Linked DNA regions of Stegostoma tigrinum. The protein of the gene in region 3 purifies or fractionates together with the protein of the main gene of each other region. This does not show direct contact. Links are inferred from orthologs where the notes say so. Each region holds a gene or a part of one and is shown on either strand. Other genes may lie near its edges.

Region 1 (3,751 bases), on a different chromosome or scaffold from region 3:
CACACAACGTTTTGGGCTAGAGCCTTCACAGAAAAGGGGGATGGGGAGAGGATTCTGAAATAAATAGGGAGACAGGGGGAGGCAGATTGAAGATGGACAGAGGAGAAGATAGTTGGAGAGGAGAGTAAAACTGCTTGTTGTCCAAACATGAAGGTGTTACCGTCCTCCCTCCAGACAAACCTCAGGGGATCTCTTTTCCACCACAACTCTCTTGTAATCTCTTTGGCCTTGAAACTGCTTGACCATGTCCTGAAGCCACTGCCTCCACCTTCATGTTTGGACATCAAGCAGTTTTACTCTCCTCTCCATGTTCGATCTGCCTCCCCCTCTCTCCATCCCCCTTTTCTGATGAAAGGTCTAGGCCCAAAATGTCAGCTTTTGTGCTCTTAAGACACTGCTTGGCCTGCTGTGTTCATCCAGCTCCACACTTTATTTATCTTGTGTGTTATTTGGGTCCTTTCAAATTGACTGCCACATCTGTCTACAAACCAGTAATTATGTTGCAAAAGGTACTTATTGGCTATAAAGCATTTTGAAACAACGCGAGGATGAGACATACTATATAAGTACTGGGTTTCGCTTTCCTACTGTAAAGCATAACTAAATAACAAAAGCAAAGCTAACGCACAAATGCAGGCTGACCTCGAAACACTGGCCTAAAGCAGAAACAGTAACCTTGCATAATGCTGGTTCATTTGTGAAAGGTCAGATTTTCTTCAATTTTGCTTTCAGTAAAGTGAAGATATACATTAAAAGGTCAACCAAACCTGCACGATAGCATCAGTTTACTGTGTCAACGTGTAGTTATTTAGTTCTTTTATAGTTAAACATCATACAGTGCCTCATGATCAGATAAATAATTGATATTAACTAATTGCAACCGGAGTGGAATGTAAAAGTCAGGAGATTTTGCTAGAGCTGTACAGAATATCGATTTGACCACACTTCAACTACTGTGTACAGCTTTGGACTCCAACCTTAAGAAGAGACATACTTGTGTCGGATGTAGTTCAGGGAAGAAACACTAGGCTGATTTGGGGATCAAACAATTTGCCCTGTGAGGAACAGTTGAGCACATATTCATAGATATTTAGAAAAATGAGAAGTAATCTTGTTGGAATTTACAAGATTCTGAAGGGATTTGACAGGGTTGATGTTGAGAGGATGTTTCCCCTCATCAATAAAATCCTGAACTAGGAGCATCATTTAAAAATAAACAAACAATCTTCCATTTCAGACAAGGAAAGGCATTTCTTCTCTGAGGGAGTTCAGATTTTGGAATTCTCTTCCACAGAGATTGTATCATATAGCCAACATTACACAACATGGAAACAGACCATTTGGTCTAAATCAACCAGATATCCAAAACTGAGCTAGTCCTATTTGCCCTGTATCCTGCTAAACCTTTCTTATCCATGCACCCCTCCTGGCCTTTTAAGTGTTGTAATTGCACCAGCCTCCATCGCTTCCTCTGGCAGCTCATTCCATACACACACCACCTTCTGTGTGAAAAGGATGCTGCTTAAATCCCTTCAAGTGTTGCCCATCTCATTTTACAACTCTGCCCTCTAGTTTTGGATTTTCCTACCCCAGGGAAAAGATCTTGGCTATTCACCTTATCCGCGCCTCTCATGATTTTAAAGACCTCTATAAAGGTCACCCCTCAGCCTCCGACATTCCAGGAAAAATGCCACAGTCTTTGCAGCCTTTGCCTATAGCTCAAACCCTCTAATCCTGGCAACATCCTTGTAATTGGGGATAAGGTAGGAACAGGATACTGATTGTGGATGATCAGCCATGATCATAATCAAAGGTGGTACTGGCTCAAAGGGCCGAATAGCCTACTCCTGCACCTATTATCTAAATCTTTTCTGAACATTTTCAAATTTCACAACATCTTTCCCACAGAGGCGGGGGGGGACTAGAATTGATCATCATTGAATATTCTGAAGGTTGAGTTACACTGATCAATAAGGAAGTTAGGATTTACTGTGTCAGGCAGAAAAGGGGGGGGGGGGTGAAGGCCATAATCAGATCAATCACAATCTTGCCAATAGGCGAATTGGCCGGGCAACCTCCTGCTCCTTGTCTTATGACGTTACAGTAAAGCAGTTGGATTAGTACCAAAAAAAATTCTCCACCACCTAAGAGCATTCCACCAATCTCAAGACAGACTTATAAACAGTACGTCAGAGCAGTCAAAGCGCAGAAAGCACCGATCTTTGAACACTAACCTCTCCAATGGAACTAGGGAGGACTTGAAACAACTATCATCATAGTGTCCTAGAATCTGGGGAGGTGGGGGCAGGGGCAAGTGGACCGAGTAGAACTACAAACCGACCTTTAAACCTGGCACGAAGACTAGTTCAGGGGCTGGGTGTTAGAAATGCCCGTCCTTCCAAGAGAAGGGAGACCTAAAGTTTCCTCGCTCTGAAACTTTCCCACATTTGGGTGTCCACAATGCAATTTAAATTAAAGAACAAGGACTCGTCTCGACGCAAGTCCGTGGTCACTCCAGCTTTTTAAATAGGCAGTGAAGCGGCCTACCTCAACAGACAGACGGGGAGAAACCAGTGGGTGAAACCAGAGCAGGCCGAGTGAGCGAGACAGACTGCTCTCCCACGACATTAGGCGACCCCATCCCCCTCTCTCCATCCGCCGCAACCCCCCCCAAAACCAAAGACCCCAGCCTGGGAGCAGTTCCCAACCGCCACTTTCCTTACCCCCGCCACATAAACGTTCGAACGAGAACGGGAAACCGAAAAAGTTTTCTTACTGGAGGAGCCGGCCCGGATAACAGCCAGACCCGCTTCAGAAAGACAACCGCGGGCTCTTCTTCAACGCTCCCACCTTCGCCAACGCCGCCGCCATCTTGCAGCGCCTGCTCACGTGATGGACTCTGCCTCCACCCCCACAGGGTCATCCAGGCTCCGCCCTCTTGACCCGCTCTCATTGGCCGCCGACGTCATGGAAACCGCCTGTCTTTGCCGGTGCGCGTCGATTGGTCCGCGCGGACGTCAATCATCCCCGGCGATGTTGCCAAGGTGGGCAGAGGGCGCACGTGGACCAGTTCCCTGTTATGGTTCTGAAGACCCGCAGGTTCTTCCATTACTTCGATGGGAGCGCCTGTACAAACATAGCAGAAGCAAATTACTGCAGATGCTGGAATCTGTACTGAAAACAACACATACTGGAAATGACAGCGGGTCAGATAGTATAACTGAGTGTGGAGCTGGATGAGCACAATATCCTTGGAGAGAGAGCAAGTTAACGTTACAAGTCTGGATGACTCTTCATCAGAACTGAAGACTTGCCCTGTCTTCGTGGCTACTATCTGACCCGCTGTGATCGCCAGCACTTGTTGTTTTCAGTAAACTGTCATAGCATACTGCTGCACCTTCCCAATTATTTTTAAAACTGTACGAATTCCAAATCCAGGGAGGCAACGGCATTATCGCTAGACTATTCACCCAGAAACCAAGATAATTTATACAAACCCAGGTGCGAATCCTGCCATGGCAGGTGGTGGAATTTGAAATCAAAAAAATGTCTGGATTTTAGAGTCGAATGCTGACCGTGAAACCATGGCCAATTTTTAGGAAAAACCAATCTAATTCACTAACGTCCTTTAGAGAAGGAAGCTGCCATCTTCATCTGGTCTGGACTGCGTATGATTTCAGACCCACAGCAACGTGGTCGATACTTAACTGTCCTCCAGGCAATAGGGGATGAGCTATAAATGCTGACCTGG
Region 2 (3,751 bases), on a different chromosome or scaffold from region 3:
CGTGCTTGTCTGGCTCCACGTGTTATTGGCTAAGGAGATTACCTGATTGCGGGTCATTGGCATAAGATATAGATCTTGACTGCAAATTGAAGGGTGACCTTTTTATGGAGGTTTATAAAATCATAAGGGGCATAAGGTGAATAGCAAAGATCTTTTCTCTAGGGTGCTTATGGGCCCTGGCTTCCAACATCTATGGTCTTTCAATTTCCTTTCATACCTTTCCATCTTTTAGCATTCAAATATACTGTGGCACGGATTCATTTAAAAACTCAAGTTTTAAACTGAAATTATCATTGTTAAAATAGTTTTCATATGAAAACGCATATTTGAACAGGTGTATTTGAACAGGTGTACTTAAACATTAAGCAACATGTCAAGCAAAACTCTAGAAAACAGAGTGTTAAATAGGATACCACTACTTTAAATAAATTAAACATGTATAACAAAGCTCTTGTACATTTTATACAAAGTCCACATCCAAAGGGAAAACATGACTCAAGGTACTGTTCTGCTCATTCAGAATCAGGCCTGTACAAGATCATATGAGAACAAATTTGATTTCTGCTTTCATTATTGCAGCCTTGGGATTGGACCATAAACCATCAAGATTTACAAATTAGAAAGAGGTGATATAACCTATCATGTTTACATCATGTCTCTGCCACACCAATCCTATTCTGTTGCAAAGATTTTGCATCTCCCTTTGGTTCAAATATTTACTCACTTCTCTCTCATACTGATTTCTGCCTTACATTACATTTAACAATCAGTCCATGCGAATATACTTCAATAAAGAGAGTTCAGCTAATCTCTTTCATTATAATTCTAAAAACGTAATGGCCACTTACTGATGACTTTACCTTCCTCTACACACATCACTAAAGTTTTTGTATGCTTCAGTGGAAATCCTCAAGAGCCATCAACAGTTTGACTCAGTTTCCCAGCCACAGCCTGTCCAATTGAAGGGTGGGTGGCCTGGATGGGGTAGGTTTAGAGGCAGGAATGAGATATCAGGGATCATGAGGGAGTGAAAAGTTGTTGAATGGCCAGGCAACTAAAGGAGGACGACTGAGGAGCAACGTTTAAAGATTATGGGAGGAGATCACAAGGGTCGGGGTTGTGGAGGGGGAAAGTTAGTGAAAGCAGTTAATCCATTTGCTGAGGATGTTAATGAGGCTTGTTTGATGACAGAGAGGGGGTGGGGGGGGTTACTCATCATTGACAGAGAGGAATGTATTTACATATTCCATTCATTTGGTCTCACTTCCCCCTATTATGATAAAGTTTGATAAAGGCATCTGAGGCACCTTTGAAAATTTAAAGTTCATTTATATGGACTTTGGATTTAAAGCTGTTACATTAGTCTGAGACAACTGCTTGAAAAAGGGCACCACGCAAAGAGAAGAAACAGGAGAAAACTGAAATAATTTGGTAGAGACTAAAAGTGCTCAAAACCAAAGCTTAATAGGGCTGCTTCAAAGAACCTTTCCTACTACCGGCACTTCCCTGTAGATTATAATCGAGTTGTTATTGACTCCTCGTATACATTCATTTTTAATTTGGATTTCGAGTTTTTCGTCCACTGTCCACATTGTACGATCAGCGATAAGTACAACCCTAGAGCAAGATGAGTCCGCGCAAACATTTGGCTAATACAGAGAGACATGAAGGACTGCAGATGCGAGGTGCGGGGCTGGAAAAGCTCAGGTCAGACAGCATCAGAGGGGCAGAAAAGTCAACGTTTCGGGCCGCGCTTTTCCAGTTTCGGCTTTTTTCAAAGAGATAATGGACAAAAAACAAAAATCGCTAAACGAACAAGATGCCAAACACGATGCGTGTAAATTAATATTTACCTTTACGGTATCACACGTCTCGAACAATCGAAATGACACTCTCCACATTTTGCGAAGATTTGAATGCACCGCTTCGAAAGCAAAGGCCGGTACCAGTGGTGAGCAGAGACACCCCCCCCTCGGAACAAATAAGCACTCAATTCTCTCCTCCCCAGCATTCAGGCAGGATGTTTTCGACCTCAAAATACCTTCAGATTTTAAAAACCGACAATTACTGCGAAATGATTAATAGCACCCTTTTACTCTCGTTTACATTGCATGAAAGATATCTGATGTGACAACGTGTTGAGGCCAATTATAGCGTTTAAATAAATACTAAAGAAAACCACGTAAATGGCTAACGTTTTGGATTCCTTTAAATGGAAACGTCGTTAATTGCAATTGCAAACAGTAAGTTTTAAAACGGGTTTTCATTGTTTAAACGTTGGGGGGGGGTGGTGGTGATAGGAACCATATCAGATCAGTAGCTGCTCCTATTTTTTTCTCCTACAGAATAAAGCGACTACCCGCCCTCCACCTATCCATATCACTCCACAAATTAGGGAAATAAAACATCTATTACCGCAGAGAGAGCCTGCGTGCCACTTAAGTCGCTTCACATTGCATTCAATTAGAGCCCGGGGCTTTTCCCACAAGCCCAATGCAGGATAACCTGCAATGGGAGGGGGTGGGCCCAATCCTTACCTGCACACAGCTCGAGCCTTAGCAACCGACCAACCTCCGCCCTCACTTCGCTCGCTCCTAAAACCCCAGATCCATGTAAAGGGTCACCCAGAATTAAACTTGCTTTTTAAATACTTTACCCCAGCAAAACAAGAAACAAAACCCACTGCCAGTTTTCAATTCCGAAGCAGCTGGTAAACAAGCGTCGCTGCCGGTCAGGAGAAAGAAAACCGTCAGACTCACCACACCATCGACCAGAGGGGAGGAGGGAATGACGGTCACGAGGCGGAAACCTCGCGTTAGCATCACCCTCGCCATTGACGGCCGCTAAAGGGAGGAGACCTCGCATGGTGACGCCAAGCCCCGCCTGAGCCCAGGTTAGACCACGCCCCAATTTGCGTCGCGGCGGGGAGGGGGCGACAGCGCCATCTCTTACGTCACCCACAGGCCGCACCCATTGCCAGTCCGCTTTTGTCGCCGCTCTCCAAGAAAATATTATTTCTACGTTCTCCTTTTTCCGCCCCGCTAACTCCCCCCGCCCCCGCCTCGCTTTACGCACACGACTCCCCCATCTCGGAACCCGTGCGAACACAGAGGGCCGGCGATCAGCTCCCTGTCATTTGCTGCAGAAGCTAACGGACAGTCTGAAAAACAAGACACAAAACCGCCGCGCGGTCCCCGCACGTGCCCCCCACCCCCCAAAGCTCGGTCGGGGCCGCGGAAGGTCATCGATTCGGCTGGTGTCGTTCGTCGCCTCTTTGGTAATGTTGTTATATAATCTAATATAACTAAATAATGTTATTAATCTACAGTGAGTGTCTCCTTCTCTTTCTCACACACACAGCGAAAAGCTTCATTGCGCCTCGGTCCTGTCGTACTTTTTTGGCCCGGGGCCTACTCATTCTAATTCTGTGGATTCCCTCTGGCTGCGAGCTGAGATGGAGGAATGACTGGTGCCCGCGGTAGATTAGGATAGGGGTGATGACTTGTCTGGGGCCAGCCGTAGATTAGGATGGAGGTAAAGGATTGATTGGTGCCAGCAAGATGACAAAGTGTGGAGCTGGATGAACACAGCACGCCAAGCAGCTTCTTAGGAGCACAAACTGTTTAGGCTGAGAGGAGCTGGTGGATTGAGTGGTGCCAGCAGTGAATCACGAATGGGAGTATATTGACTTATTCTAGCAGTGGTTAAACTTGGGGATATTGACTTTTTCCAGCATTGGTTAAGATGGCGG
Region 3 (3,751 bases):
GCTTTGCGCTTCTGCAAGCCGGTGGAACGGGACAGCCGGGAAATGATGATACAGTAGCAGATGAGGATGACCAGGGCGGGCAGAACGAAGCCCACCGCGATGCCTTGGATTCGGAAACTCATCATCCAGAACTGGTACGTGTCTGCGGGGTAAATGCGCTCACACACCACCCTGTCGTCGAGATTTCTCGTTTTAGCAAACACCATGTCGGGCACGGTGAGCAGAATGGCTGGTAACCAGACGCCCACATAGACTAACCGATCAGCCAGCAGCTTCCGCGGTCCCGTGCTGTTGGTCGCATGCACCACCGCATAGTAGCGGTCCAGGCTGATGAAGGCGAGAATTAACACGCTGCTGTACAAATTGACGGTGTAGATGATGTGCACGATCTTGCACATCGCGTCTCCGAAGTACCAATTCAGGCTCGCGTCGATAGACCAGAAGGGCAGGGTCAAGACAAACAGCAAATCCGCCACCGACAGGTGCAGCCTGTATTTGTCCGTCATGGTGCGCACTCTTCCATGGTAGCCCATGATGACCACCACCAGGCCATTGCCCACCACCCCCAGCACAAACACCAGCGAGTAGACACATGGTAAGAAAATGCTTTTAAAGTACGCGTTTTCTCCATCGCATAAGGCACCCTCTGGATATGTGTAATTGTACGCGTCAGTGTCATTGGGATAATTGGCATCATAAGCCAGGCGATAATACTGTAAAATAAACAACAAGCTTTATTAACCAACACCCAAACCGTCAGTTTAATCGATATTTTTTCAGCCTCGGCTTTTTATTACCATCAGAACCACGTGGTTACCACCCACCCCTGAAGTTTCCAATAGGAAACAGGCTTTTGGGTTGTTTGGGTTAGAATTTCTGACAGCCACAAGTTTTGAACTTGTTAACGGCTAAGGCCAGCCGTGTGGTTGTTGTTGCGGGATTGAGTTACAACTGTCAAAAGTAAACTCTAAATGGCTGGAAAAACGCAGCGTCTGTGGCGAGAGGGAGAGAGTCACTTAGCGTTTCCAGTCCCATTTTGCCAGGCCTGCTGAGTTTCTTCAGGAACGTCTGGTTTTGAGTCAGATTTCCAGCATCGGCATTGTTCAACTCTAGGCAGTCCACGTGTGAGGAGACACACCGGGTCTGGGACCCCGCTGCGTGCTGAAAACAAAATACGCTGAAAATTCACCGAGAGGCAGATTGGGTTTGGGAAGCGCAGCGCTGCCTTGAGTGCGTGTTTCACTTTTTAATGGAACAGCGGGGGATTTTTACAAAGGAAGTCACAGTGACGATTTCTCATCACAAAGCAGGACTGACTCCTAGTTGCTGGGGTGGGGAGCGGGGGAAGGGAGGTTGGGGTTCACTCACGTGGGACTCATGCTTGCAGTAATTGTGTTCAAACAGCGCTCAGTTCTATGCTATTCTGCTCCTTGCTACTTGGCACCGAAATTTTAACTGCCACTTGTTAACCACTTCAACGTTTTCTTTCTCAGGTATTTCACCCCACGCGCTGAAGTTTCCCTGAGTCGTTAGTAAAGTCCAGCAGAAGTCTGAGGAGATTTGTTTGTTATTACTGGGTTAGCTGTTCCCCATGCATGACAGTTGCAGCATGAGTGACCTCTTTCAACAATATCGGCATGTGCCAAATGTATATGCCCCGAGTTAAATATACCTGCGAGACCAGGTCACCTGGAGGTATAGGTGCTTCCTCTATGTGGAAGAGACGAATGCGAACGGATCTATTCATTGGCATCAATGAAGCATGCCTTTTAACTCGGAAAAACTGTGGTTGAACGCTGTTATTTTAAACTTTCTACCTCCTGTGATTTCTTAGTTCCAAAGCTCAAGAATCTAAACCGCGCTGGTTTCAAACAGCAAATCGGAATACCAGACGCGGTAACATGAAAACCCCTAACCAGATACTCGAGGCTAAATCAGATCAGCAATGTAAAATGCCTTTTCAACTTTCTTCCCCTGCAGCCGGTTTCACTAAATGATCACAATTTGGAGAGTTTAATTTCGAACTGGAAGCATTAAAAACAAAACCCATAAAACTCCAATTGGCTTTTCAGTGATATCTTCAATATCTAAAAGTGTTAAAATGATTGTGTTCATTCTTGCTTCGCACACAACTACCATAGGTAAACTGTAAGCTGCACACTTTACTCAGATAAATTCATCTACAAACTATACATAAGTGCATTTGCAACACTTAAAAGTATATTTTGTAAATAAAACATCATCTCTTTAAGTACAAATGATTTTTAATTTTGTTTCATAATGTACAAGTATTTACAAACATAAAAATACTTAAAGGAACATTTAGATATTGATTAAACCTTCTCTTACCATTTCATCGAACTCTGAATCTTCAGTCATTCTGCACGATTTCCAACAGCCCTGACCGTTATACTGGCGGAAGTTCACTTCTTGTAGCGTTCTCTAAGTATGAAGATATTGTATGAAGTTTCCAAACTTAAGTGCCACTTGGACCTGCGCATGCGCACAGCGAGAATCGTAATTTCTTAGCTCGACCAAAGGAAACTAGTTTGAATAATGAATTCAAAAACAAACCCAAAGAATAAGGGGCATTTACAACCACCGCTGCCTAACTGCTGCGGAAACGTTGGAAGCAACTGTTATTTTATAGCATCCGTTATACAGAATGCACACTAGGTGATAATATTCAATGACTTTAGTGAAAATTTGCTTTTGTGAAAGTATTGCTATTAGGCCATAAGACCACAAGAAATAGGAACAGGAGTAAGCTGTTCATCCCAAGTGCCTGTCCATCCCCATTCAATAGCATCATGGTTGATCATACATTTTTCAAGCCCTCCCCACCCCCAACCCGAATTCCCCATTGATCAAAAATCTATCTCAGCCTTAAACATACACAAGGATTAGATTAGATTACTTCTGTAATAAAAACCAAAAGAACTGCGGATGCTGTTAATCAGGAACAAAAACAAAGTTGCTGGAAAAGCTCTGCTGGTCTGGCAGCATCTGTTTTGGGTCCGATGACCCTTCCAGCAACTTTGTTTTTGTTGTTGACAAGGATTGTGTCCCACATCTGTCTGTGGCAGGGAGTTCCAAACACTCTCAACCCTCTGAGACAAGGAATTCCTCCTCATCTCGGTCTTAAATTGCACTCCCCCTTTATTCTGGGACCATTCCCTCTGGTGTAGGCTCTCCCATGAGGGGTATTATCCTCTCAGCATTTAACCCATCACACCCCTTAAGAATCCACATGTTTCAATGAGATCACCTCTCATTCTTCTAAACTCCAGCGAGTGGAGCCTGAATCTATTTGACCTTTGATCATTAGTCAATCCCTCCATACCATGGATCATTCTGGTGAACTTTCTGTGAACAATTGATTGTATAACTAGCCCAACTAATGTTCTTCATAGGGTAGCTGTCTGAGGCACTGAATGTTGTCTCTGGAAAGAGAAAATGGGAAATCTTGTCTGCACAACAATTTGTCCATCACTTATTCCTTCTTATACTTTGCTTTTGCATTTCTGTTTTGTAATGTTATCTTTCATTTTTCAATTGGCTAAATTTGTTTTCTTTTCCTTCCAGGTAAATCATTTCTTCATCATTTTTGGGTTGAAAATATTTGAAGCACATCAGTATCCTCAAGAAGGCCCCAACGAGTTCTCAAGATAATTAAGGATGGGCCATGAATATGGCCACACTAACAACAGTCATGTAGAACAGTACAGTGCAGGAACAGGCCGCTCAGACC

What was found.
Region 1: the proteins of C-X-C chemokine receptor type 4-like (region 3) and E3 ubiquitin-protein ligase Itchy-like purify together in Homo sapiens (affinity purification with western blotting; 5 studies listed by BioGRID and IntAct, with this or other methods). This does not show direct contact. The link is inferred for Stegostoma tigrinum from reciprocal best matches to the Homo sapiens genes CXCR4 and ITCH.
Region 2: the proteins of C-X-C chemokine receptor type 4-like (region 3) and CSC1-like protein 2 purify together in Homo sapiens (co-immunoprecipitation; 3 studies listed by BioGRID and IntAct, with this or other methods). This does not show direct contact. The link is inferred for Stegostoma tigrinum from reciprocal best matches to the Homo sapiens genes CXCR4 and TMEM63B.

Annotation. Positions count from the first base shown.
Region 1 is NC_081372.1:11,190,749-11,194,499, reverse strand, and holds the start of E3 ubiquitin-protein ligase Itchy-like, read right to left. Parts: upstream 2,891-3,751; 5' UTR 2,777-2,890; intron 1-2,776. UniProt on the Homo sapiens protein: Acts as an Acts as an E3 ubiquitin-protein ligase which accepts ubiquitin from an E2 ubiquitin-conjugating enzyme in the form of a thioester and then directly transfers the ubiquitin to targeted substrates.
Region 2 is NC_081357.1:11,099,092-11,102,842, forward strand, and holds the start of CSC1-like protein 2, read right to left. Parts: upstream 2,837-3,751; 5' UTR 2,760-2,836; exon of another isoform or gene 2,538-2,759; intron 1-2,537. UniProt on the Homo sapiens protein: Mechanosensitive cation channel with low conductance and high activation threshold. Osmosensitive cation channel preferentially activated by hypotonic stress.
Region 3 is NC_081360.1:73,291,510-73,295,260, forward strand, and holds the start of C-X-C chemokine receptor type 4-like, read right to left. Parts: upstream 2,486-3,751; 5' UTR 2,380-2,485; coding exon 2,350-2,379; intron 714-2,349; coding exon 1-713.